Linked DNA regions of Macaca mulatta. The protein of the gene in region 3 purifies or fractionates together with the protein of the main gene of each other region. This does not show direct contact. Links are inferred from orthologs where the notes say so. Each region holds a gene or a part of one and is shown on either strand. Other genes may lie near its edges.

What was found. Proteins that work in one complex are often made in the same cells at the same time.
Region 1: the proteins of CAMKV (region 3) and AP3B1 purify together in Homo sapiens (affinity purification with mass spectrometry; 3 studies listed by BioGRID and IntAct, counting the BioPlex papers as one, with this or other methods). This does not show direct contact. The link is inferred for Macaca mulatta from reciprocal best matches to the Homo sapiens genes CAMKV and AP3B1.
Region 2: the proteins of CAMKV (region 3) and GPATCH8 purify together in Homo sapiens (affinity purification with mass spectrometry; 3 studies listed by BioGRID and IntAct, counting the BioPlex papers as one, with this or other methods). This does not show direct contact. The link is inferred for Macaca mulatta from reciprocal best matches to the Homo sapiens genes CAMKV and GPATCH8.

What each region holds. Positions count from the first base shown.
Region 1 is NC_133411.1:84,461,631-84,468,935, reverse strand, and holds part of AP3B1 (AP-3 complex subunit beta-1), read left to right. Parts: intron 1-693; coding exon 694-865; intron 866-4,184; coding exon 4,185-4,332; intron 4,333-7,305. UniProt on the Homo sapiens protein: Subunit of non-clathrin- and clathrin-associated adaptor protein complex 3 (AP-3) that plays a role in protein sorting in the late-Golgi/trans-Golgi network (TGN) and/or endosomes.
Region 2 is NC_133421.1:68,781,068-68,788,372, forward strand, and holds part of GPATCH8 (G patch domain-containing protein 8), read right to left. Parts: intron 4,305-7,305; coding exon 4,255-4,304; intron 3,123-4,254; coding exon 2,992-3,122; intron 1-2,991.
Region 3 is NC_133407.1:113,342,659-113,350,747, forward strand, and holds the start of CAMKV (caM kinase-like vesicle-associated protein), read right to left. Parts: upstream 4,191-8,089; 5' UTR 4,009-4,190; intron 3,703-4,008; exon of another isoform or gene 3,629-3,702; intron 1-3,628. UniProt on the Homo sapiens protein: Does not appear to have detectable kinase activity.

The sequences.
Region 1 (7,305 bases), on a different chromosome or scaffold from region 3:
TAAATAGTAAAAAATACACATATATTTTTCATGTGTTCTCTTCTGCAGAGAGTCCTAGCATACCATAATTTATACATAAAACATTTAAAAGTATAATTCCTCAATGTAACTTGATCATCTCTTTGACCTATGGAAAACTCCTTTACTAGCTCGAATAAGTAATAACTCTTTAATTAGTCATTTGCCTATTGTCTTTGAATTTGGAAGTTTTTCCAGGTGATTTGAATGGCTCATTTTCCTCTCAAAATTTGTTCCTAAGAAGATTAAACTGTTGCCTTCTTTTACTCTAAATAGAATTTCCCATTACAAGCAGAAGAATTTAAAATTATTTCTTTAGCCTTACATCAATCTTTATGTAATTCTTTAAAAGAAAGTTTTTGACAAAGCTATATACTTTGGGGTTTGAAAAGTGAGATTCCCTCAAATTTGGTTTACTTGGTTCATCTTTGCTTAGCTTTTCTCTACTCATTGTCAGAGCATCCTCTCTCTGTCTGCCTCCCTCCAAACTCACCGTGCTAAAGGAATCCATAGAGCTGAAAGAATGGGGTATGGGAATGAAATGTTAAACACGTGGTGTCCACTGAACTAAAATTCAACATCTGGTTTCATTTGAGATGAATATTGACAGTTACAGGTGTCCGTGTGTCTAATTAAATGACTATAAATCTAAGAACATCTGGTTCTGTTTTTCAGAGAGTGAATCTGGAAGTGAAAGTGGAGAGCAAGGCGAAAGTGGGGAGGAAGGAGACAGCAATGAGGACAGCAGTGAGGACTCCTCCAGTGAGCAGGACAGTGAGAGTGGAAGGGAGTCAGGCCTAGAAAACAAAAGAACAGCCAAGAGGAACTCAAAAGCCAAAGGAAAAAGGTAATGTATTTTGTCAGAATTTCCTTCAAAAAATATTCTGTGAAAGTTTGCCCCAGGCAGATGTTTCTTGTTAATCAAAAAATGATGAGAGAAAAGAAGTGTGTATTTTTTCCCAAACAGATATTAAATCTTTTTAAAATTAAAGTGCTAGTTCACATTATTTTCCTACTTGTAATGCTTAGCTTTCATTTTGAACTTGAACATATCTTGGGGTTACATTTTGAAAATTGGTATAACCTTGGAAGGCTGAGTTAAGTGATCAAGCAATAGGTATGAAACACTTAATTACCTTTTGTAGCAATTTTGCTGAGGGCTAAAATTAAATCCTTCAACACTTTGCCATTATGTAACCAAGACAATTGATTTTTCTAAATAATGTTATATTAAAAAGATTATGATCCAAATATTAGAGTCAAGGGCTGTGAAGGAAGACGGTCATAAGAGCTTTAAGTGTTAGCACTTTTTAAGATCTCCCATTATCAACAACATTATCATGTATTAAAGTGTCATTAAAATTTTGAGTAATTGGGGCTAATATCTTGGATTGTGCAACTCTGTTTTCCCCACTGCTGTCAGTGAGTGGCCTCTGCCGACATGATGGTCCTTTCCCCAGGAGCCTGCTGCCCGCTCACTTGATGAGCTTGCAGCTCGGCTCAGTCGTGGCTGACAGCACTGATTGGGGCGCAGTACGCTCTCTGCTCCTTTTATTACAGACAGTAATTAAAGCAGCTCGCCCTGCCACTTCCATAACAAACACAGCATAATGCCCTAATTATGACTTTATTAATTTAAGTCAGGATTTAATGATTTTAAAAGTGATTTATATTGTTTTTCCTGTTCAGAACAAATGAAATCTGTAGGTTAAATTAATACAGGCTTTTCATCATTGCAAAGTTAGAAACCTAGTTACCAGTAAATTCTTTTCATTAGATTAACATCTGAAACTCTAAGCAGTAAGGTAAACAATAATTACCATCAAAATTGAGTGATGCATAATAAAATAACACTTTTACTTTTAAAATCTTATCTTAAAAGCTAGAAGTTAAATATATTTAGAATCATTCACTTGTTGCAGCAAAGGAGCTACTTGGTTTATAATAGCCTTGTCTTTGAGAGAAATCCTGTACTTCTGGTTTAATATCAGAATATCTATGATGATATGAGTTATAAAACATGTCTTGTTTCTAGAAAGGGAAAGTTTTGTTCAGTGCATGAAATGTCCTTTCAGATGGCAGAAGTCAGTATACTAGAAATTTGTAGTCATGTATTAGTTTTATTATTCCTTTCTTCAGAAATAGATTTTTCTCTTTACCCACATTTGAATTTAAAAGAATTGTTTATTACAAAGAGAACCACAAATACATTCTAAACCTTATATTTTTAAGTACACATTTTAACCAGTGAATTGGGGATAATAAATTGCCGTTTTTTTGCCAGGGAAAAACAACAACATATTTTTCAGTCTTCAAATATAATTACATGTGCTCTGAGATGTTGCCATGGCTCCATTTTTAATAAACAGCAATCATATTTCCTCTACAAAAATCAATTCTAGGAAATATCGATTCTTTCCTTGCCTCACTCCTCTCCCTCCCCCAGTATTTTTCTGCCTCTTAGAATGTTTTTTTAACTTTGCTAGTATGATAATTTTTTAAAGCTCTTAATAAGCTTTAAGCATCTTCAAAAACCACCCTTTAGTAATCATAAATATTTATGACCGAATTTAAATTTTACACTCCAAAGTGTTTTCATTTGAAGGGAGATAGTATGACATAGTGGAAAAAATACGGACTTTGGAGTGAGACAGGCTTGAGTTCAGATTCTAGTTCTGCCCCTCTTGTTATGTGTCCCTGAGCAAGTTATTTAACCTTTCTGAATATTAATTTCATTATTGTAAATGGGATAATAATGTACCCAGGAAGAGTGCATTTAAATTAGGTAATCAGTATGATTGGTATGAAATGCCTAGCCCTTTCTGGCCCACAGTAGATTCTTAAAAATATACACACACATGTTGTAGAGAGAACTAGACTTTTAGTTTCCAGGAAAATATAAAACACCACAAGGCATCTCTCATCCCCTGAGATAAGGGTGTTTGGTCATCTCACATGTTATTCCTTCTCCTTGGAGAACTGCTTCCCTGCCCATCTGCCAGCCTTACTCCTATATCTTGGCTTATATGTCTCTTTCTCCAGGAAGCATTCCTAATTGGATTAAGTTTGTTTAGGTGTCTCTCCAAATGTTCTCCTGACACACTATAATTTATTACTTACTATACTGTATTATCACTGCCACCTTATCTATATCCTCCAGTGGACTGTAGACTCTGTAGGGTAGACACACATAGATCCTCTTAACCATTGTTATCCTTAGCACCTAACATAATGCCAACATGTAGTCAAAAATTAATTAATATTTGTTGAGCAGATGAACAAATGAACAAATGAATGGTGTTAAGCACTTAGGTATGATCATTTGGTAATTTAAAAGTTTATATTTGATTAGCTTAAATTTGTAGCAAGATAGTACTTTAGAAGTTCCTTTGTTAACCAGAAACACATTTCTCATAGAATGTGTTTAAGGTCACATTTGAGAACTTGTAGTAAGTAATTTTCTTGGGTAGAAAAGTGTATAAAATACAAGTCTATTTTAGCAAAAGTAGATATATAAATATTTAAATATATTACTAAACCGGGTGTGGTGGCTCAAGCGTGTAATCCCAACATTTTGGTAGGCCGAGTTGGGAGGATTACTTGAGCCCAGGAGTTCCAGACCAGCCTAGGCAATATCGTGAGACCCTGTCTCTACAAAAAATATAAAATTAGCTGGATGTGGTAGTGCCCGCCTGTAGTCCCAACTACTTGTGAGGCTGAAGTGGGAGAATCGCTTGAGCCTGGGAGATCGAGGCTGCAGTGAGCCATGATTGCACCACTGTACTCCAGCCTAGATGACAATGAGACCCTGTCTCCAATATATATATGTGTATACACACACAGTATTTTGAGATAGCATTTTAAAAATCAGCCTAAATATCTTTGAAGTTGTTACTGGTAGTACTTAATTCTTGGTAAATCAGACATTTAATATTTTCTACATTGTTTTTGATTATATTGTTTAGTGTCATTTTATGACTTTTTGCATATGAAGTGTGTATGACAGGATAGAATTGAATTTGAGTGGGTTCTAATTTATTTGGTTATGGGTAATACCTTCATTATTACCTCATTAATGTATTCTGGAATTTAAAAACCATTTTTTATATAAACGACTTATATAAAGGAGTTAAAGTTGATATTTCAAAATTTACTATTATATATAGTGATTCTGAAGATGGGGAGAAGGAAAATGAAAAATCTAAAACTTCAGATTCTTCAAATGCCGAATCTAGTTCAATAGAAGACAGTTCTTCAGATTCTGAATCAGAGTCAGAATCTGAAAGTGAATCTGAATCCAGAAAAGTCACTCAGGTAAGAGATTATGCATTTGTTGTAATTGAAGGTAAATATACAGCAACTAAAATAAACAACACCATCCTTATCTATGCCTGTGATTTTTTATTTTTTCTAGATAAGCCTTTCCCTTATAACCTAACTCTGAAGAAAAGCTAGAAACTTTCAAAAAATCTCATCCCTTGCCACCGAAATCAGGGAACTCTTATGCATATGGCTTTTTTTGTTCTTGGCTAGGTTGTGACAAGGGGTGTTTTTGCTGAAGGGACTGTGAAAGGAAGTCACAAAAAATAGTATTGAGCAAAGAATTCTAAGCATACATACATCATCAGAAATTTAGACTATTCAGTTTTTTAAAATATTGGGCATTTTGCATAATAGAGTATGTTTTAAAGCTTTAATTAAAGAGTATACATTCTTTAGTAAGAATTTGCATAGACATTTAAAAACAAATGCAAGAGCCACTTATATAATAAAATAATAATGCTTTTTGGTAATAACGTTTGTAACACTGAATTTTGCCTGCTTAGCAGGAAAAAAATAAAGTATAAATTGCAAAAATGTAGTTATTAATGTAAAATGTATTCTATCTGATTTCAGGTCTAGTTAAATGAATAAAATAATAATACAGAATTCAGACCTAATTATAATTATCTTTTTGGTCTTTAATAATCACCCCTTTCCTATAAATGGGCCGTGTTCATGCTAGACTTCAAGTATAGTAGTTTTATATATAACTGTGTTATTCTGTTTGTTGAAAATATGGCCAAACTCTGCCTTTGATTCAGTTCAGTTTCTTCTTAATCCAATATTGTTTTTGTTTATTTGTTCTATTAACTTGAATTTCTTCAGTATGTTATCTGAGTAGGCAAGGATGAAAATTAATTTATTGAAGTAGACAATTGCCCTCCCCCATCCAAAGATTTATTGTTAAAGAATGTTTTTAAAATTGGCTAGCCTTATTTCACATTTTCTTGCATTTATTAAAACCTATCTTAAACTTGAATTTATATTTAAAACGTGTCTGTATATAAAATAACCTAAGATTTTTATTTTTAAAAAATTCACATAAAATCTTAAGAGATTTTATGGTTTATTAATCTGGCCTGATATAAAAACTTATCACATAGTGAGTTTGATGTACTCTCATTTCGTACTTACATCAAATTACCAGAAAGTTTAAAATGTTATTGAAAATAAAGAGAGTTACAAATCGACAGTAAGTACAACCCAGAGTAAGAAGTATTTTTTTAAAATGACTGAACAAGAAATCAGTGAGTGTCGAGTGGTGGAAGTTATTCTTAGGAAGTTTTATAACAGTTGAAAAATTATAGACTTCAGTTCCTCTGTACTATTAGAAGCAGAGCTTTAGGATGCCATTAAAAAGCCACAGTGGTTGAACATCATGTTGTGTTGTACCCCTTCCTCCCCCTGAAAAAAACAAAAGAAGATAAAAGCCACGGGGGCACTCCAGGTCAGTGATTCTGTTTGTTTCTTCTTTGTCAAGGACTTTCAGTGATCAGATTAAATCTCTTGATAGTTAAAAATATTTTCCTGTAAAACGTCAGTATAAAACAACTCAAACTATTGCAGTGAACCAAGGCTTTTGAGAAATTTGGGTTTCGCTCACATTGTTGATAGTTTTGTGTTCATGTGTTTCCCTTAGGTGGCTTATTTATATTAGAATGCCTTTTCCCATCTATAATAGGTAGACAGGACTGTGGAATTTTTTGCTTTAGTTTAGCAATTGGAATAAGTATTCTCCACCTTGGAGCTACCATACTACTTATTTATTTCTATTTCTTTCTGAATAATTTGGCATATACCATGCAATTGCAGAGTATATCTATTTTCTAATAATAGGCGACTATAATTGTAGAAAAGTCCTCCTTGCACCAAGTGTTGTGGCTTCTGCTCTAAATTATGAGTAATGAAGGCAGATGGTGGGTACTTTACTTTAATTTAGCATGACAATATGTTAGTGCTGAAAATTCATATGCCTTATATCTGCAGCCTAACTAAATCTACACTTTTACGCTTTCTTTTCTTTTTTTTCATTCAGACAATGTGTTTTGAGGGCACTGAGCATGAAAATGTGACCTAGGAGTTACCTTGAATACATGGCTTTCAGAACAGTTAATTTTTATGGTAGTTCTATGAGATAAGCATAGTGTTCTACTTGTTGGGAGAGAATATCTTTGTTTCAGTTTCCTCATCTGTAAAGCAGAAATGCTAGTACCTACCTTATTTCTTTCAAGTGTTATGTCAAAAATAAAATATGAAAGATCAATGTAACACACTATATAACTATAAAACAACAGTTTTAACATTCTTTAAAATTTCATAAAAGATCAACAATATTGGAGAACATCAAATGCTAAAAGTAACCTAAATTTTTTGGTAACTTAAGTATCCTGCTTTTTTTTCCCACTCTTTTTACACTATTCAGGTTGTAAGTCAACATTTAATTCTGTTCCCTTACCTACAGCCTGTGAGCTTAGCCACTTTCTTTAGAAGAGAGCTGCCATCCACGGTCAGTGTCTCTACTCTCTAACTCACAGTCTCCATTTACCCTACTTTTCCTTTGAATGCAGCTCTGTGTAAGATTCACATCCCCTTCCCCAAGGGTAACTCCTACTTCCTTTTGGTTTTGTTTTGTTCATAATCATCTGTCTCCTTCGCACCTTTAATCTCTTTCTCCATTCATTCCTTTTCTGCCAACTGTAGCATTCAGGTTTTTTCCTCATTTAAAGAGAGAGAGAGGGAGCATGGAGTGGAAAAGACAGTGTGTGTGTACATGAGTGAGAGTGAGTTTAGAAAAATAATCTACGTATCCTGCATCTTGTACTTCTTAACCCAGTTATTTCCAACTCTATCCTACACATACTGCTCTCTGAAAAGGCAGCGATGATCCTTCCCCAAACCCAGTAGCCTTCTCTTATTCTTGGTCTTTTTGTATGACTGTTCCCCGACTACTTAAAAGTCTCTGCA
Region 2 (7,305 bases), on a different chromosome or scaffold from region 3:
AAAAACAATTTGTAGAGACAGAGTCTTGTTATGTTGACCAGATTGGTCTTGAGCACCTGGCTTCAAGTGATCCTCTGGCCTCTGCCTCAAAAAGTACTGGGATTACAGATGTGAGCCATTGTGCATCTGGCCTGCAATTTTTGTAGTGTGTACACTATACAGTGTACACTATATCCTTTTTTTTTTTTTTTTTTTTTTTTGAGACGGAGTCTCACGCTGTTGCCCAGGCTGGAGTGCAGTGGCGCGATCTCGGCTCACTGCAAGCTCCGCCTCCCGGGTTCCCGCCATTCTCCTGCCTCAGCCTCCTGAGTAGCTGGGACTACAGGCGCCCGCCACCGCGCCCGGCTAATTTTTTGTATTTTTAGTAGAGACGGGGTTTCACTGTGGTCTCGATCTCCTGACCTTGTGATCCGCCCGCCTCGGCCTCCCAAAGTGCTGGGATTACAGGCTTGAGCCACCGCGCCCGGCCCACTATATCCTTAAATTCCAAATCAAGAACTAAACAGAATTAGATACCTATTTGTATGATGTCCTTGTTATCCAAACCCTAGCTAATAGCTATCCTCAACTCAGGGACAAGTATATTCAGACAATGTGTAATCTCTCTTTCTTTTCCTCTCTCCCAAGCCGGAGTTTTGCTCTTGTTGCCCAGGCTGGAGTGCAATGGTGTAATCTTGGCTCACTGTAACCTCCGCCTCCCGGGTTCAGGCGATTCTCCTACCTCAGCCTCCTTAGTAGCTGGGATTACAGGCGTGCGCCACCATGCCCAGCTAATTTTTGTATTTTTAGTAGAGACGGAGTTTCACCATGTAGGTCAGGCTGGTCTCAAGCTCCTGACCTCAGGTGATCCACCTACCCCAGCCTCCCAAAGTGCTGGGATTACAGGCGTGAGCCACTGTGCCCCACCAATGTGTAATCTCTTGCTATCTAAACTGTTGCTACTGGAAAATGAGAACTCAACAGATTTGGAGAGCAAGAAATACTTACACTGTGTTATGAAACCTACTCCAAAGCAAACAAATAAAAAACGACCCCCAGGGCCAAACTGAATAAAAAGGGGATACTGTTTTTTTGAGACAGGGTCTTGCTCTATCACCCAGGCTGGAATGCAGTGGTGCGATCACAGCTCACTGCAGCCTTGATCTCCCAGGCTCAAGAGATTCTTCCACCTCAGGCTTCTGAGTAGCTGGGACTACAGGCATGTGCCACCATACCCAGCTAATTTTTAAGTTTTTTTTTTTTTTTTTTTTTTTTTTTTTTTTTTAGAGACAGGGTCTTCCTATGTTGCCCTGGCTGGTCTTGAGCTCCTGGGTTCAAGAGATCCTCTTGCTCTGGCCTCCCAAAGTGCTGGGATTACAGGTGTGAGTCACTATGCCCAGCATGTGCTTTTTAATATAAATGTTAGAAAATGGGAATAATTGTAATAGCGTCATCATTTATTGATTTCTTGAGCATCTCTGATGTGCTAGGCATCCCTTCAAGCATTTCCAAGGTAATAACTCAATCATTCCTCATAACAACTCTAAGTTGTTCTTATCTCTATCTTACAGATAAGGAAACTGAGGCACAGAGTTTAAATATAATTTCATTACGTCACATAAACAGTAAGAAAAATATGGCCTCAAAAATACACATACTTAATCAGTATATTATACAAGTATATAGATATGCTTTTAGTTTGAAAGAAGGATCTATTAAACATTTTAAGGAACTGGAGGACATTATGTTAAGTAAAATAACCCAGAAACAGAAAATTAAACACTGCAGGTTGTCACACATATGTGGAAGCTAAAAAAAAAAAAAGTTGATCTCATAGAATTAAAAAGTAGAACAGAGATGGATATGGTAATTACCTTGATCTGATCACTATATGTGTTGAAACATTACATATACGTTGAAACATTACTAAGCAACCCATGAATATGTACAATTATTATTTGTCAATTAATAAAAACTGAAGGTTTATAATTTTTTTTTGAGATGGAGTTTCACTCACGTTGCCCAGGCTGGAGTGCAATGGCACGATCTTGGCTCGGCACAACCTCTGCCTCCCAGGTTCAAGCCATTCTCCTGCCTCAGCCTCCCTAGTAGCGGGGATTATAGGCATGTGCCACCATGCCTGGCTAATTTTGTATTTTTAGTAGAGACAGGGTTTCTCCACGTTGGTCAGGCTGGTCTTGAACTCCCAACCTCAGGTGATCCGCCCGCCTCAGCCTCTGAAAGTGCTGGGATTACAGGTGTGAGCCACCGCGCCTGGCCACTTTTTTGTTTTTTTTTTTTTTTTCTTTTTGAGACGGAGTCTCACTCTGTCGCCCAGGCTGGAGTGCAGTGGCTGAATCTCAGCTCACTGCAAGCTCCGCCTCCCAGGTTTACGCCATTCTCCTGCCTCAGCCTCCCGAGTAGCTGGGACTACAGGCGCCCGCCACCCCAGCCGGCTAGTTTTTTTTTGTATTTTTTAGTAGAGACGGGGTTTCATCGTGTTAGCCAGGATGGTCTCGATCTCCTGACCTCGTGATCCGCCCGTCTCGGCCTCCCAAAGTGCTGGGATTACAGGCTTGAGCCACCGCGCCCGGCCTGTTTTTGTTTTTTTTTTGAGATGGAGTCTCCCGCTGTCACCCAGGCTGGAGTCCAGTGGTGCAATCTCGGCTCACTGCAAGCTCTGCCTCTCGGGTTCACGCCATTCTCCTGCCTCAGCCTCCAGAGTAGCTGGGACTACAGGCGCCTGCCACCACGCCCGGCTGATTTTTTGTATTTTTAGTAGAGATGGGGTTTCACTGTGTTAGCCAGGATGGTCTCAATCTCCTGACCTTGTGATCTGCCTGCCTCAGTCTCCCAAAGTGCTGGGATTACAGGGGTAAGCCACTGCGCCTGGCCCAAGGTTTATAATTCTTAAATCTTAATTTAAATTTTAAATTATAATCTGAAATCTATAATTTAAAACTTTAAGGATTATAATTATCTGTAGAACCCTCTGATAAAAAATATCCTCACCATTCAGCTTGTTTTCTCTGCTCTGCCAACTCATGGAGCCGCCGAAGGGCTTTTTCCTGTTTTTTCTCATCCTTGCGGGATCTTGAAGAGACATTTCGAGCAAACTCTCTCTGCTTGAGATCTTTTAATCTCTGGGTTAAAAGAAAGAAAGATACAGAGGGTGGATGATTTACAGTAACTTGGGAATCAGAAAGCAAAGCCTTTAGGACATGACCCTCAACCAACAGTCATAGTATTAGTGTAGAACACATTATCATATTCTCTTATGGCAACTGAAAACACAATGGCTGATTACTTTGGGTATAGCACTTGCAGTATCTACACTTCTAATTAGGACAGCATATCATTTGCTTTATTAGGCAAAATAAAATGATCTCAAATGCAACAAGCAAATTTTAGAACACTGGGAGGAAAGAAAGGGACCTGCTCCTCCAGGATGCAAAACTAGACAAACAGAACATGAGATAAATTGTAATAACACAAGCCAAAGAGAACAGAAAGGGGTTAGGCTAGTACAGAAAGTTACCCAGGTGTAAGATCTTGAAAAGCAATGTACAGCTTACATGGGGGGTTATTTGAATTAGAACAAATAGAAAGCATACTTTTATTTCACCATAAAAAGGTGTCATTTTTTTTTAGCATGAATAGAGGTTTCCCGTAACTATTAAATAAACCCGAGAGGTCTTCCAGCGCTAGCACGTTTAGAGCTCACCAGTCTGACCACTTTTATCTGGTCAGCCTGCTGAAAGTAGTATGTGAGGCTTTGCATTCCTTCATGGCCCTGAGAGGAATATCCAGGGGATGAGGAGGGAGAGCAGAGATAAGTCAAAGACTTTATTACTTAGAATCCAGATAACAGAATGGGTCTTTTATTTTCAGAAACTACTGTATAATTTTCCTTAAAAGAAATACAACCAAAAAAGAACAGTGTTATGACACACTGGTGACAGAACCCAGACATATCTATCTGCAATAAAGACAGAAATAAAATTATTTTCAAGACATTAGATAATAACAAGACACAAACAAAACAAAATATATACATTAGCCTATGCTTTTACAACAGCATTGGGAAAAGGAATTTGACCCAGTATAAAGTGGACATTGCTTTGTGGAAAGGCATGATGTTCAACAGACAGAGGAATTTTCTTACCTAGTATTTATGAAATGTGTTTTGAATCTTTTTAAATTGGGAGGGGGGAAGGGTAAAAAGACACACACAAAAAAAGATATACAGCTAAAGACACTAGTAGAAAAACTCACTCTTGTGATCTGGGCTCCCAAATTAGAAGGATTTGCTTTCAATACATCAGCTGAAAATGTCACATCACAAAGAAAAAAAAGTAAAAAATAAAACAAGAGTGGAAGAGAAAAAAAAAATAAAGCAAGCATTACTACACAAGCTCTCTTAGTGAATCTGTAAACTATTATACTGAACAATCAGGGACAAAGCCATCAACTCTAAAAGGGCTGGGGAGAAGGGAAGCACCTGTACAACATATATATGTGTACATACACACAGACTGACATAGTAATCCCACCTAGAAAAATGGAACTACCTGTATTTCTTCCAGAAAAATGGTTCCAGAACTTTGGAAAAGACCATTGTGGTACAAAAAGCAGTCCTGTTTCCATGAGCCCTTATTTTGGGGGAAGTTCAAGTAATGAACAGCTGGCAAAACTATTACTGCCCATAATTAACAATTTTTTTTTGAGACGAAGTCTCTGTTGTCCAGGCTGGAGTGCAGTGGCGCGATCTTGGCTCACTGTAGCCTCCGCCTCCCAGGTTTAAGCAATTCTCATGCCTCAGCCTCCCAAGTAGCTGGGATTACAGGCATGCACCCCTATGCTTGGCTAATTTTTATATATTTAGTAGAGACGAGGTTTCACCATGTTGGCCAGGGTGGTCTTGAACTCCTGGTCCCAAGTGAACTACCTGCCTCGGCCTCCTAAAGTGCTGGGATTACAGGCATGAGCAACCACACCCAGCCCACAATTAAGATTTTTATAAAACCACTTCAAGATAAAGGATCAACTATTTTAAATAAATATGAATAAATATGAATTCTAATTTCATCCTCCTGAGGGGAATGGGGCAGAAAGAAAAGGCTTATCAGGTCTATTATATGATTACCTTTGGCCACAAACCTAGTTTTTTCTTCCCCAAACACGTAATAGGCTCTCTAACCAAGATTTATATAGAATATAATGTTCTTCTCATATCTGCCATTTTCTCTTTTTTTTTGAGACAGAGTTTTAATGTCGCCCAGGCTGGAGTGCAGTGGTGTGATCTTGGCTCACTGCAACCTCTGCCTCCTGGGTCCAAGCAATTCTCCTGCCTTAGCCTCCCGAATAGCTGGGACTACAGGTGCCTATCACCACGCTCGGCTGAGTAGAGATGGGGTTTCCCCTTGTTGACCAGGCTGGTCTTCAATTCCTGACCTCAGGTGATCCGCCCGCCTCGGCTTCCCAAAATGATGGGATTACAAGGCATAAGCCACTGCACCCAGCCTGCCATCTCTCTAGCCACCTGCTAAGACTGGAAAATTTCCCCATGCCATTTCCTCCCCTCTTACAAATATTTCATTACTTTTAGGAAGCATTTTTCAAACTACAAGACACTGTCCAAAAGAACAATCATTTAATCAAAGTATGGAGTCCCCAGGCTGAGTCAAGATTAGGCTTTCCATTCAACAGCCACTTTGTACAACCCTGAAGTTGAAGGAACAGGACCATGTCCACATCATGCTGAAGACATCCTATCTCAAGTTCCTACCACAGGAACATGGTTGGAGGCAGAGACGGAAGAAGATAGGATGATGCAATAAAACGAATCTAAACTGCAGGCTCCCTCTGGGCAAATCCTAAGAATACCCTACAAAGCTTAGGAAAGGCTCCCAATATCACATTTACAAATTTTACAGTCAAGTCTGCGGTCTCAAAAGCAGAATTGAGAACCCCAGAATTCTAACCCCAACCTTAAGAGACAGGACTCAGCAAACCCTATCAAACTGAGTATGTATACTTGTGGTTTCTTTCAGACGAGGACATTCTGTTCTGGCGACTTTTTTTTTTTTTTTTTAAGAGACAAGGTCTCACTTTGTTGCCCAGGCAGGAGTGCTGGGGCTATTCACATGTGTGATTCCACTACTGATCAGCATGGGAGTTTTGACCTGCTCTGTTTCCGACCTGAACCGGTTCACTTCTCCTTAGGAAGCTTCGTTGGTCCCCCGCTCCTGGGAGTTCATCACATGATGCCGAACTTAGTGCAGACACCCAATCAGCAGAGCGCACTACAGCTCAGAACTCTCGGGCTCAAGTGATGCCCCCAGCCTCAGCCTCCCAAGAAGCCAGGACTATAGGCATGCACCACTACGCCCAGCCAAGACATGGGTTATAAGGTTCATATTTTCCTTTACCTAGAATGCCTAACTCCAAGTGTCTCCTGTCTACTCAAGGTCAAACTAAATTCTTACAGTCTCCACTGATCCTTCAAAACAGGGGACTGTTCTTTCTGAACTGTCCCTAGTGGTGCTTTGTCATATCGTTCACCTAGCAGCTATTGTATTTTGTTCTCTGACCAGTTATTCCTGTCTTTTAAAAAGGCAGTATGTGTAAAGCTTCAGAGTCAGAAAGCTTGGGTTCAAATCCATTAATTAACTAGCCAATCCACTTATTACTAGATGATTTCACCTCTCTGAGTTCCAGCTCCCTCATTAAAAAACAGGGCTACCTATCTACAGATTTACAAGATTAAATGTCAAAATAAATGTAAAGCATTTAATAAGTCACAAGTGTTCAATACTGCCTTCCCTCTGTGTGGGGCAGGGACTACAGCTTATCTTTATAATCAACCCCGCAGTATACAAAACAGCACTAAGTCTACAGAGGGCATCTGGTAAATGTCCAGTGAATAATTCAGTTCAAACATTAGATCCTTCGTTTTTCCTCAAATAAATTTTTCTACCATTTGTAGGAAAGCTTGATATAAAGTATTCTCATATCTTTATTAGGGACATATTAAAGTTATATAATATGGTCCTCCTAGCTACCACTCCAGATACCCCTTATTTCTAGACAGAATTGGGCCAAATGGCAAAAGATGCTGGCCAGAAACTTCTCAGCTTCCTACCTAAAAAGTAATTTCTATAAAGGCACAAGGACCTAATCAGTCAGGTTTTCCAAAATTGCCTATTTTATTCCAAAAGGCTACCAATGTCTGGCTCATTTGTTATGGAATACCCATGTGAAATTCTGTGAAGTGTACCTATACTTTTCTCTTAAATTCTAAAGAGGAACACAACTTTAGATAAT
Region 3 (8,089 bases):
AATGGTCCTTTTCTGAGATACCTTCCACAACCTCCATGCCCCACCCCCCACCCCACTCCAACAGCTCCCGGCTCTACCAGTGTGGTGTGGGCGGGAGGTTTTGTGCATGCCTGTCCCTGATCCTGGCCCCAGCTTTCAGCTCTGCATATGCACTCATGCCCACTGGGGCCCAGGGCTGGTCATGGGGGTCTATCTCTACCACAGAAAGCTGGGCCTCCACCCCATAATGTCAGCCTGGAGCCATGTCCTGCAGCCTCAAGGCTGAGATGGGAACAGATCTGTCTCCCCTGCCCCCTACTATGGCTGCCTAAATTTCAGCCAGTCACTCCTCCTCCTCCTCCTCACCAGTCTAACTATACTGGCTTGGGGCCCCGGACTTGGCCCCAGGGCAAGGAGAGGAGAAAGAGGGGCCTGGCTTTCAATTAGCACCCTGGTTCCCTCTGCCCACCCCCACTCCACCATCTGCTATCCACTGTTGCTCCCTGGGAGGCTTCCGGTGTGTGCACCAAGCCCTGGGCACCTGCTTGCAACAAAGGAGAACTGGGAGGAACAGTCTAGGGACAGCTCTCAGAAAGGGAGGAGGCCAGGTGGAAGGGGTGTGCATTTCTCACCCCCATGGCCCAGACCCAACACCCAACAATGGAGAGCTCTCCTCTCAGCAACACAGGACCTGAGCTTTTCCTCAGGTACACTTAGGCCATGGAAGGGCACGGGAGCCCCACAACAGTCATTTCCCTAGAGACATGGCTCCCTCCACTCTCTGCAGAGGAACTGAACAGTATGCACTGCGGGCTGCCCAAAGGGAGCTTGTGGGGAGTGCAGGCCCTGGTGCTGCCACTGCCCTCCAGCTGGCTCTCAGGGAGCCTGACAGCCAAGCACTCCCCAGTTACAGCCTGCTCCCAGGGCCCGACCACTGGGCTCAGGGAGTTGAGCCTCCAGCAATCCTGAGGGGTCCTCTGTTGCTGCCCTGGTGACAAATGGTCCCCCAAGGACTCTACTGCATCTTTAGGTAAGTCTGACCCAGGGAAAGCCCAAACAAAACAAAGGCCAAGAGGTCCAGAGGCCCCACATTGGGGTCCTGTCCCCTCCTCCACTGAGATCATCCTGGTTCAGGCCCTACCTGTCATAGACATAAACAGACTTTCCTGCTACCTTGGTCCCCTGCCATGTGGGACTCCAGAGTTTGCAGTAAATCTAGGGAGGCCAGGAGAGGCCCAAGAGGCCTCCAGCTGCCTCCCAACAACTGTAGGCAGCACCTCCCAATTTAGTGGTAGCTGTGAACACCAGCCTGCAGGCACCCCCTACTCTCTGCTGCTCTACTCTCTCAAGGACTGGGGCTGGATTTCCTGCTGCAATGAACATGCTGAAGCCCAAGCCCTGCCTAACTCACAGCTGAGGTGTCACCCACAGGAACAGGGGAGCTGAAGACCTCACTCAAGGTCTATTAGGAACAAGGGCCAAGCTTCTAGACCACCATCCAATTGCTTCAGGGGACTGGTCAAGGGGCTGCCCTGACTGAGCCTCAGGCTCCAGCTAAATCATGGTAGAAGTTCCTACAGCTGAATTTTGCCCATCTAATGAAGGAGTATTGTGGGGAGGTCTCTCCAATCTTGGGGGTGGGCATGCAGTCCAGTGCTACGTCCTGAAAGTTTGGCTCTCAACATGCAGGCAGAGGCAAAGGTCAGCTGTCTCCTCCCAAGCACTTGGGGTCCAAATCTCTGAACCCCTGAAGGAGAATCCACTGGAGGCTCTGCTTCCCTGTGGGTGGAGGAGGGGAAATGCAGAGGAAGGCACTAGAGTAAAGGGTTGCTATGGTGATGGAAGTTTTAAAACAAGGGGAGGGGGAGGGGAGATGTGTTGGTTAGGTCCCTTCTTCAAGAATTCCCTGAGACTTTAGCCTGGCTCCTTCTTCAAGGTTCTGTGACCCAGGTCCCCATCAATAAAGAGGAGGTGGGGAGATTGAGAGAATTTAGAAAAAAGAGAATGGGGCAGAGACACAGACAAAGACAGAACCTGTGATGGAAGAGGAGCAAGGAGATGACAAAGTAAAAGGGACACAGGCACAAAGGGCAGGAAAGGGGAGGTGGACAGGAGTTCTGAAGGGGACGGATGGGTGCCCAGCAGAGCCCTAAGGCCTCCATGGCTATGTGCTCTAAATCGCTGGGCCAGGAGCTATCCATGGTACCTGGACCTTCCAGCTTGCACCCTCCTGTATCCCCCAAACATACACTGAACTTGGCATAGGAGGCACAGCCAAAAGGAGGCCAGCTCCTTGGAGCATCTTGGTGAGGAAGAGGCCAGCTGCTACAGCCCCCCAGTCAGGACAGTTCCCAGCCCATCTCTCTGCCATCACGGCAGCTTAGGTAAAGCAGGTCCAACATGTTGAAGGCAGACGCATAGGGGGATGGAAATGAGGCTTGGATGCCTAGTTGCTTCCCTTTATAGTCCCTCTTCTCAGTTGGCCCAGCTGTACCTAGACCCTCCCAGCCAACCCCTCCCCCATCTGCTATCCTCTCCAGGCTTTGGGTCCCCAGAGCCCCTCTTACAGCTCTGCTTAATCCCCTCTCACCACCCCCAACAGCAGATCCTGCCATGAATGCCAGAAATGGCATCACAAGCAACCCAGAAACAGAATAACTGCACAGCCCTTCCCCTCCCCATGCCTCAGTTTCCCCAAATAGAAACCATGGAATCTGGCCTTCTCCCAGGGCAGAGGACTGCTTGCTTGCCACTGCTTGCTTGCTTGCCTGTGAATGGTGGCCAGGGCATGGGGCTGGAGAGTAAGGCCATCAGAGATATGTGAACAGCCAGCCTAGGAGGGACACCTGAAGGGTCCGCACCAAATACTGTATTAGAAAAGGGAGACCCTTGCCCCACCCTGGAAACCAACCTGACCTTGAGGGGAGTGGAGACACCAATTTCCCAGTTGAGGAAACTGAGGCTCAGAAGTCGCTGGAGCTGCCAGGAATCAACTCTGAGGGTGGGGGAGGGCACCAGGTCTCTGAAGGTAGTCCTGGGGGCTCAAAGCCTGGACTTGGGGGTAAGGGGAGTACAGCACAGGAACTGGACTACTGCAGACTCTGAGCTTTTAGTGTGGGACAGAGGGCCCTGATCCTTAGGAAGGAACCTGGTGGAGCAGGCTCTGCCTGGGAGGTGAGGACAAAAGCAATTTGGCAGAGCTACACGGGGAGGGGGCTGGGGCTCAAGAGCCCAGGGTCTCTGCCAGACAGTACAAGCTGGGGAAGGCAGAAGCTCACGCTGTCACTATCCCAGCCACCTCCTGCCAGGGGCCCTGCTCCCCACCGTGGTGCCACCCTGACCCCCTTCCCAAGTGCTGCTGGCTCGCCCCCGCTGGCACAGCAACACACATGCGGAAAGCACACGTGTGAGCACCAAGCCCCGCACCTCCCAGCAGGAACATGTGCGCCCCCACCCCCACCGTGCACGTGGGTCCATGCACTGGACCCCCGGCTAGCCCCCAGGTGAAGGCTTAGAAGCGGAATTTTGGCTGGGGGGCTGCTGGTCCCCAGGGGCTTGGAGCTTCCTCCCCCACTCCGCGGCAGCCCCGCCCAGCCCCCTCCGGGTTGTCGCCCATAAAGAACTCTCCGTTGTCATGGAAATTAGTGACTGCTAAGCTGGAGGGAAGGGGCCCGGGGACAGTTGGGAGGGGCTGGAGGCGGCTCTGGGAACGGGGAGGGACGGCTCAGCTCTCGGCCCCTATCCTCACGGGGGACCACGAATCTTCGAGGGTTAATCTTTTCATAATTCCGAGCCGCAGAGGCTTCCCCCCAGGATCCCCAAGCCGTCCGAGGTAATGGGGAACTTTAGCCCGACCCCGCACTCCGTCCCCCAAATCTGCAAAGCCCGCGCGCTCTGACCCCGCCAGGACCTCGAGCCCTCACTGCGCCCCCGCGCACTCTGCATCCCGAACCTCGAGCCAGGGAACCAATCCCCCAAGGCCCCACAACGTGAGTTCGGGAAGCGCCCCCAGCCCGGCCAGCCCCGCACCTGCAGCGCCGGTTGGTCACACGGAGGAAGTGATCGCGGGCTCAGCGGGGCGCCGAGGGCTCCGGGGACGGCGGGTAGAATCCGCTCCGAGCACGCGGGGCAGACGCGGCGCCAGATGCAGCCGCTTCGGCTAGCGAACCTCTAGCATCGCCAGCCGCTTGCCGGCACCGGATTCGCACCCCGGGCCGGGGGCGGGCTGGGGGCGGGGCCTCCCAACCGGCCCCGCCCCGACCCTGGCGGAGCCTTAAGGGCAGAATCCCACTGGAGAGCAGGCTCGCGCGGGATGGCAGCGGTGCTGGTGAGCACTGGCCTGCTTAGCCCTGGCTAAGGTTCTCAACGGCTTCCTTAGGCCCTCAGCCTGGGGTCGGAGGGGGCCTCCTATGCCCAATGTAAGGGGTGGGGAGTGGAGAGTTGGGGGAAAGCCTGAGTCCTTGAGCTGCATAGGATCGCTTGCCAGCCATTAGTCTCTAGGGAACCGGGGCTTTGCCCAGCTCCCCGAACCCGACCCAAAAGGCAGGACCAACTTAGAAAAACCAGATGGGCAGTCGGGCTAGGGCAGGCTCCCCTACAGACTGGCATCCCCTAGCTAGGAGCAGTTAATACACAGAGGTGTCTGTTTGCAGGTAGTCAGTGTGAAAACAGTGAGTGCCCTAGACTCTGGAAGCAAAGTCTCCTATCCCACCCCACCCCCAACTCCTGCAAGGCCAGTCTTTCCCAACCATAAGCCCCAGCAAGGGTGACTGGCACAGTCAGCCCCCTCCTGTATGGCACCAAATTTCCCAAACTATAAAAGTCACCTGTGACATGGTGTGGCCTCTGCTTTCTTTTCAGTCTAATCACTCTCAAACACTTCATGACTAGCATCACTCTAGGTGGCCTGGCCTGGGATATAGGGACACAGGAGAACTGTGGCACCAAGGTATCTCACCCGGCCTGGGCGCTAATCAGAGGGAGGAGGCTCAGAACCACCAGGAGGAAGCTTTGAAGGAAGTCCTTGGCCATTTCTCTGTCCCTTGTCAGTGAGGCTCATGGACCCAAAGCCTGACCCACACCCCTCACAAGCCCTGAGGACCATCCTAAGGCCAGTATCTGAAAGCCAGACTCAGGCCTCTCAGTGTCTGGAGCTGGGCTTTATCCCACCCCACTCCTCCCAGCAAGCCTCCTGACCCTGCTGTGGGAGAGGGAGTTGGGGTCATCCCCAAACCCTCAGCCATCTTGAGGCTCCCCTGCATGGCCACCCATGGCCGATGACAGGAGGGACTGTCCAAGTCCAGAAGCTGGGGCTGGGGCTCAGACTGGAAGGCTAGCTTAGGAAATGACCGCCTCAAACAAGGTTCCTCAAAATTTTCCTCCAGAGTGGGTACTGAGCCCTTCACATTCCTCCCTGGCTTGGGGTTACCTCCTCTGGGCCAGGCTGGTGCCACTTCTGGGGTCCCTGGGTTCTGAGTGGTCTCGGGTTATGGGATCCACCCCACCACTGGGTAGGAATCTCCTGGCAGGCTGGGTATCTGCAAGGCAGAACCCGTTTCTCATATCAGTATGCTCGGCTGATGTCTGCAGAGTGAATGAATGGCCTGGCACTGAGTCCTTCCTGCCATCTGCCCACTATTCTTGAAACAATGGGTCTCTGAGTTTTATGGTGTAGCCAAGCTGTGGCTTGCTGACCCCACACATGCCACACACTTGTTTTCTGTCTTTCCTGAGGGTCATGGCTATCCAGGCATGGGGTCAAGGAGAAGCTGGAATGGGGATGTTTAGGCAGGGGAAGGGGTGGCTTCTTAGCGCCCTGCCTGCTGCTGGCAGTACTCCACCTCTTCTTGGTCCTAAGCACGCTCTGTGCATGTGGGTGAGAGCACGTGGCAGGGTGTGTGTGCACACGTGTACGTGTGTGTATGCTGTCTTTTGCCGAGGGAGATGCAACAGCATAGTGTATGCAATGGTGCCCAGGGGCACGTGTGTCTGCATTCTTTGTGCACCCAGGCATGCTTGCTGGCACGTGTGTGTGGACTCTGTAGCTGGTCCCTGGAGTTGTCAGTCCCCTTCCTGCCTGACACAAGTCTCAGGATTGTGGAGACTGAATCAGGCTTTGAGAGCCGGACATGGGAAGGGGGCTGGACCATGTCCAGGGGCGGGCAGGGTCTGTGCTGACCCTACATCATTGGTTGTTTTCAGGCTCCCCACCAGAGCAGCCCCTTGATCTCTGGTGTATGTGAAGATAGACAAGTCTTTGCCATTTGTGGAGGGCAATCTGAAGACAAGAACCCAAGGCTAGGATTGAGCCATGGCTTATCCCTCAGCCCGCAGACAGGAAGGCACAGGCAGGGTAGGACCGGCTTCAATGTTTTGGCTTCACCTCCAGCTGCCTTTCAGGCAGGAGATAGTAACACCAGCTGAATGCCATCCTCTTAGCTCTTCCAGGGCAGGGACTGGACCAATGCTGAGCTTTGTTCTTACTTCTACTATTCAAAGCCAGATGGGGTCAGGGGACATGATTTCTTACCACTCCACTGGCCAGAGGGATGGCAGGAAGTCCTTTAGCACAGAGCACAGTTTGGAAGAAGAGCAGAGGCAATTGAGATTGGCATTGCCTAGTAGCCTTTATGAGGATACTCCTAAGGAGGCCTGTTCCCTGAAGACAGGGGCTGCCTGGGTTGGGAGGCTGAGGAGGAGAAGAGGGCCCAAGTTCATAGTTCTGGCTCCCACCAAAGCTAGAAAGTCCGAGTGGCATAATAAGGTGTGAGCCTCAGTATCCACAGAACTTCATCCCCCAGCTCAGGTTGGGCGCCCTACCCAGGATTCAGGACTTATCTGCGCCCCCAACTCCTTGCCCTAGGGTACCAAAGGCCAGCACTCCCATGCCCTTAGATTCTGGCTGGCTGATAGAAGCCCCTGCTAACCCAGCATAGAGCTCCAGCAAAGGTTCAGACTGTAGGAGGTACCTAGATTACCAGTGCAGCTCTCCCAAGAAGCCTGAACTCTGACAGAACCCTCCCGCCCCAGGCTCCCAGCCATCTTTGAAACTGCCTGACTGTTGTCCATGTTGCTTGGCTTCAGCCCCTAGAAGAGGGCCCACAATAGGGAAGGCAAGCAGTCTTTTCCTCTGGAGCCAGGGGAGGGGGCTACCTCCCCGCCCCCCACCCTGTGACTCACTCCAGGCTGTGTGGGTTATTACATTATGTTTGAAATTGCCATGGCAACAAGCTGGCAATCAAGGGTAATTGCACTTGTCGTCAGGGCAACGGGGCAAAACCCACAGCAGCCACTCTCTGTGGTTGCCCTTGGGGTGTAGTAAAGGTCAGACCAGATCAGAGCCAATGCCAGTCAAGGGGCTCCAGGGCTGTCTAGAAAGGGTAGGTTGCCAGGGCCCATGGAGTTCCAGAGTGCAGAGGCAGAGCATGCCTTGGGAGAGCCAGGGCCCCTATCCATGACCCCATGCCTGGACTCCTGCTTTTCCCACACCACCCTGTGGCTGAAACATGCCACGGCACTTAAAGCAAGCAGAACCAGAACTTTTATCTGCTTACAGCTGGTACTTATAGATAGCCCATGGGCCCTCTTCCTCATACTCCCGGCGGCTGAGCCACAGGTTCTGGAAGGAGCTGCGGGATGCCATGATGGAGCCCCCAAGCCAGGCAGCAACTGCACGGTGGGGAGACCCCAGCACAGCGGCACCAGGGCCCAGCTCCTGTCTCAGGCGCTCGGGGAAGCCACTCACAAGGGTGCTGCCACCGTCCAGTACCACGTTGGCCAATAGCTGCTCCTGCTGCTTGGCCTCCAACCGGCTGATGCTTAGGAGGGCCAGCTGTGGGAGGCCCGGCTGGTTGAGACCTATCAGATTGGGTTGGAAGAGGGCCTCGGGGCAGCAGAAGCGCTCAGAACCCAGCGTGATAACCTGCTTGTCTGGAAGCACAAAGTTCACCTGGGCCTGCACTTGGGTGCGGGCCCTCTCAGCTGCCACATCCATGGCCACATAGCAGCAGGCTTCTTTCATCTGGTTGATCAGTCCTACCTGGGGCAGTGAGTGGCCACTTCTCTGCAGCAGCTGGGCCAAGTAGTCAGTAAGGTCAGCACCAGCCACATC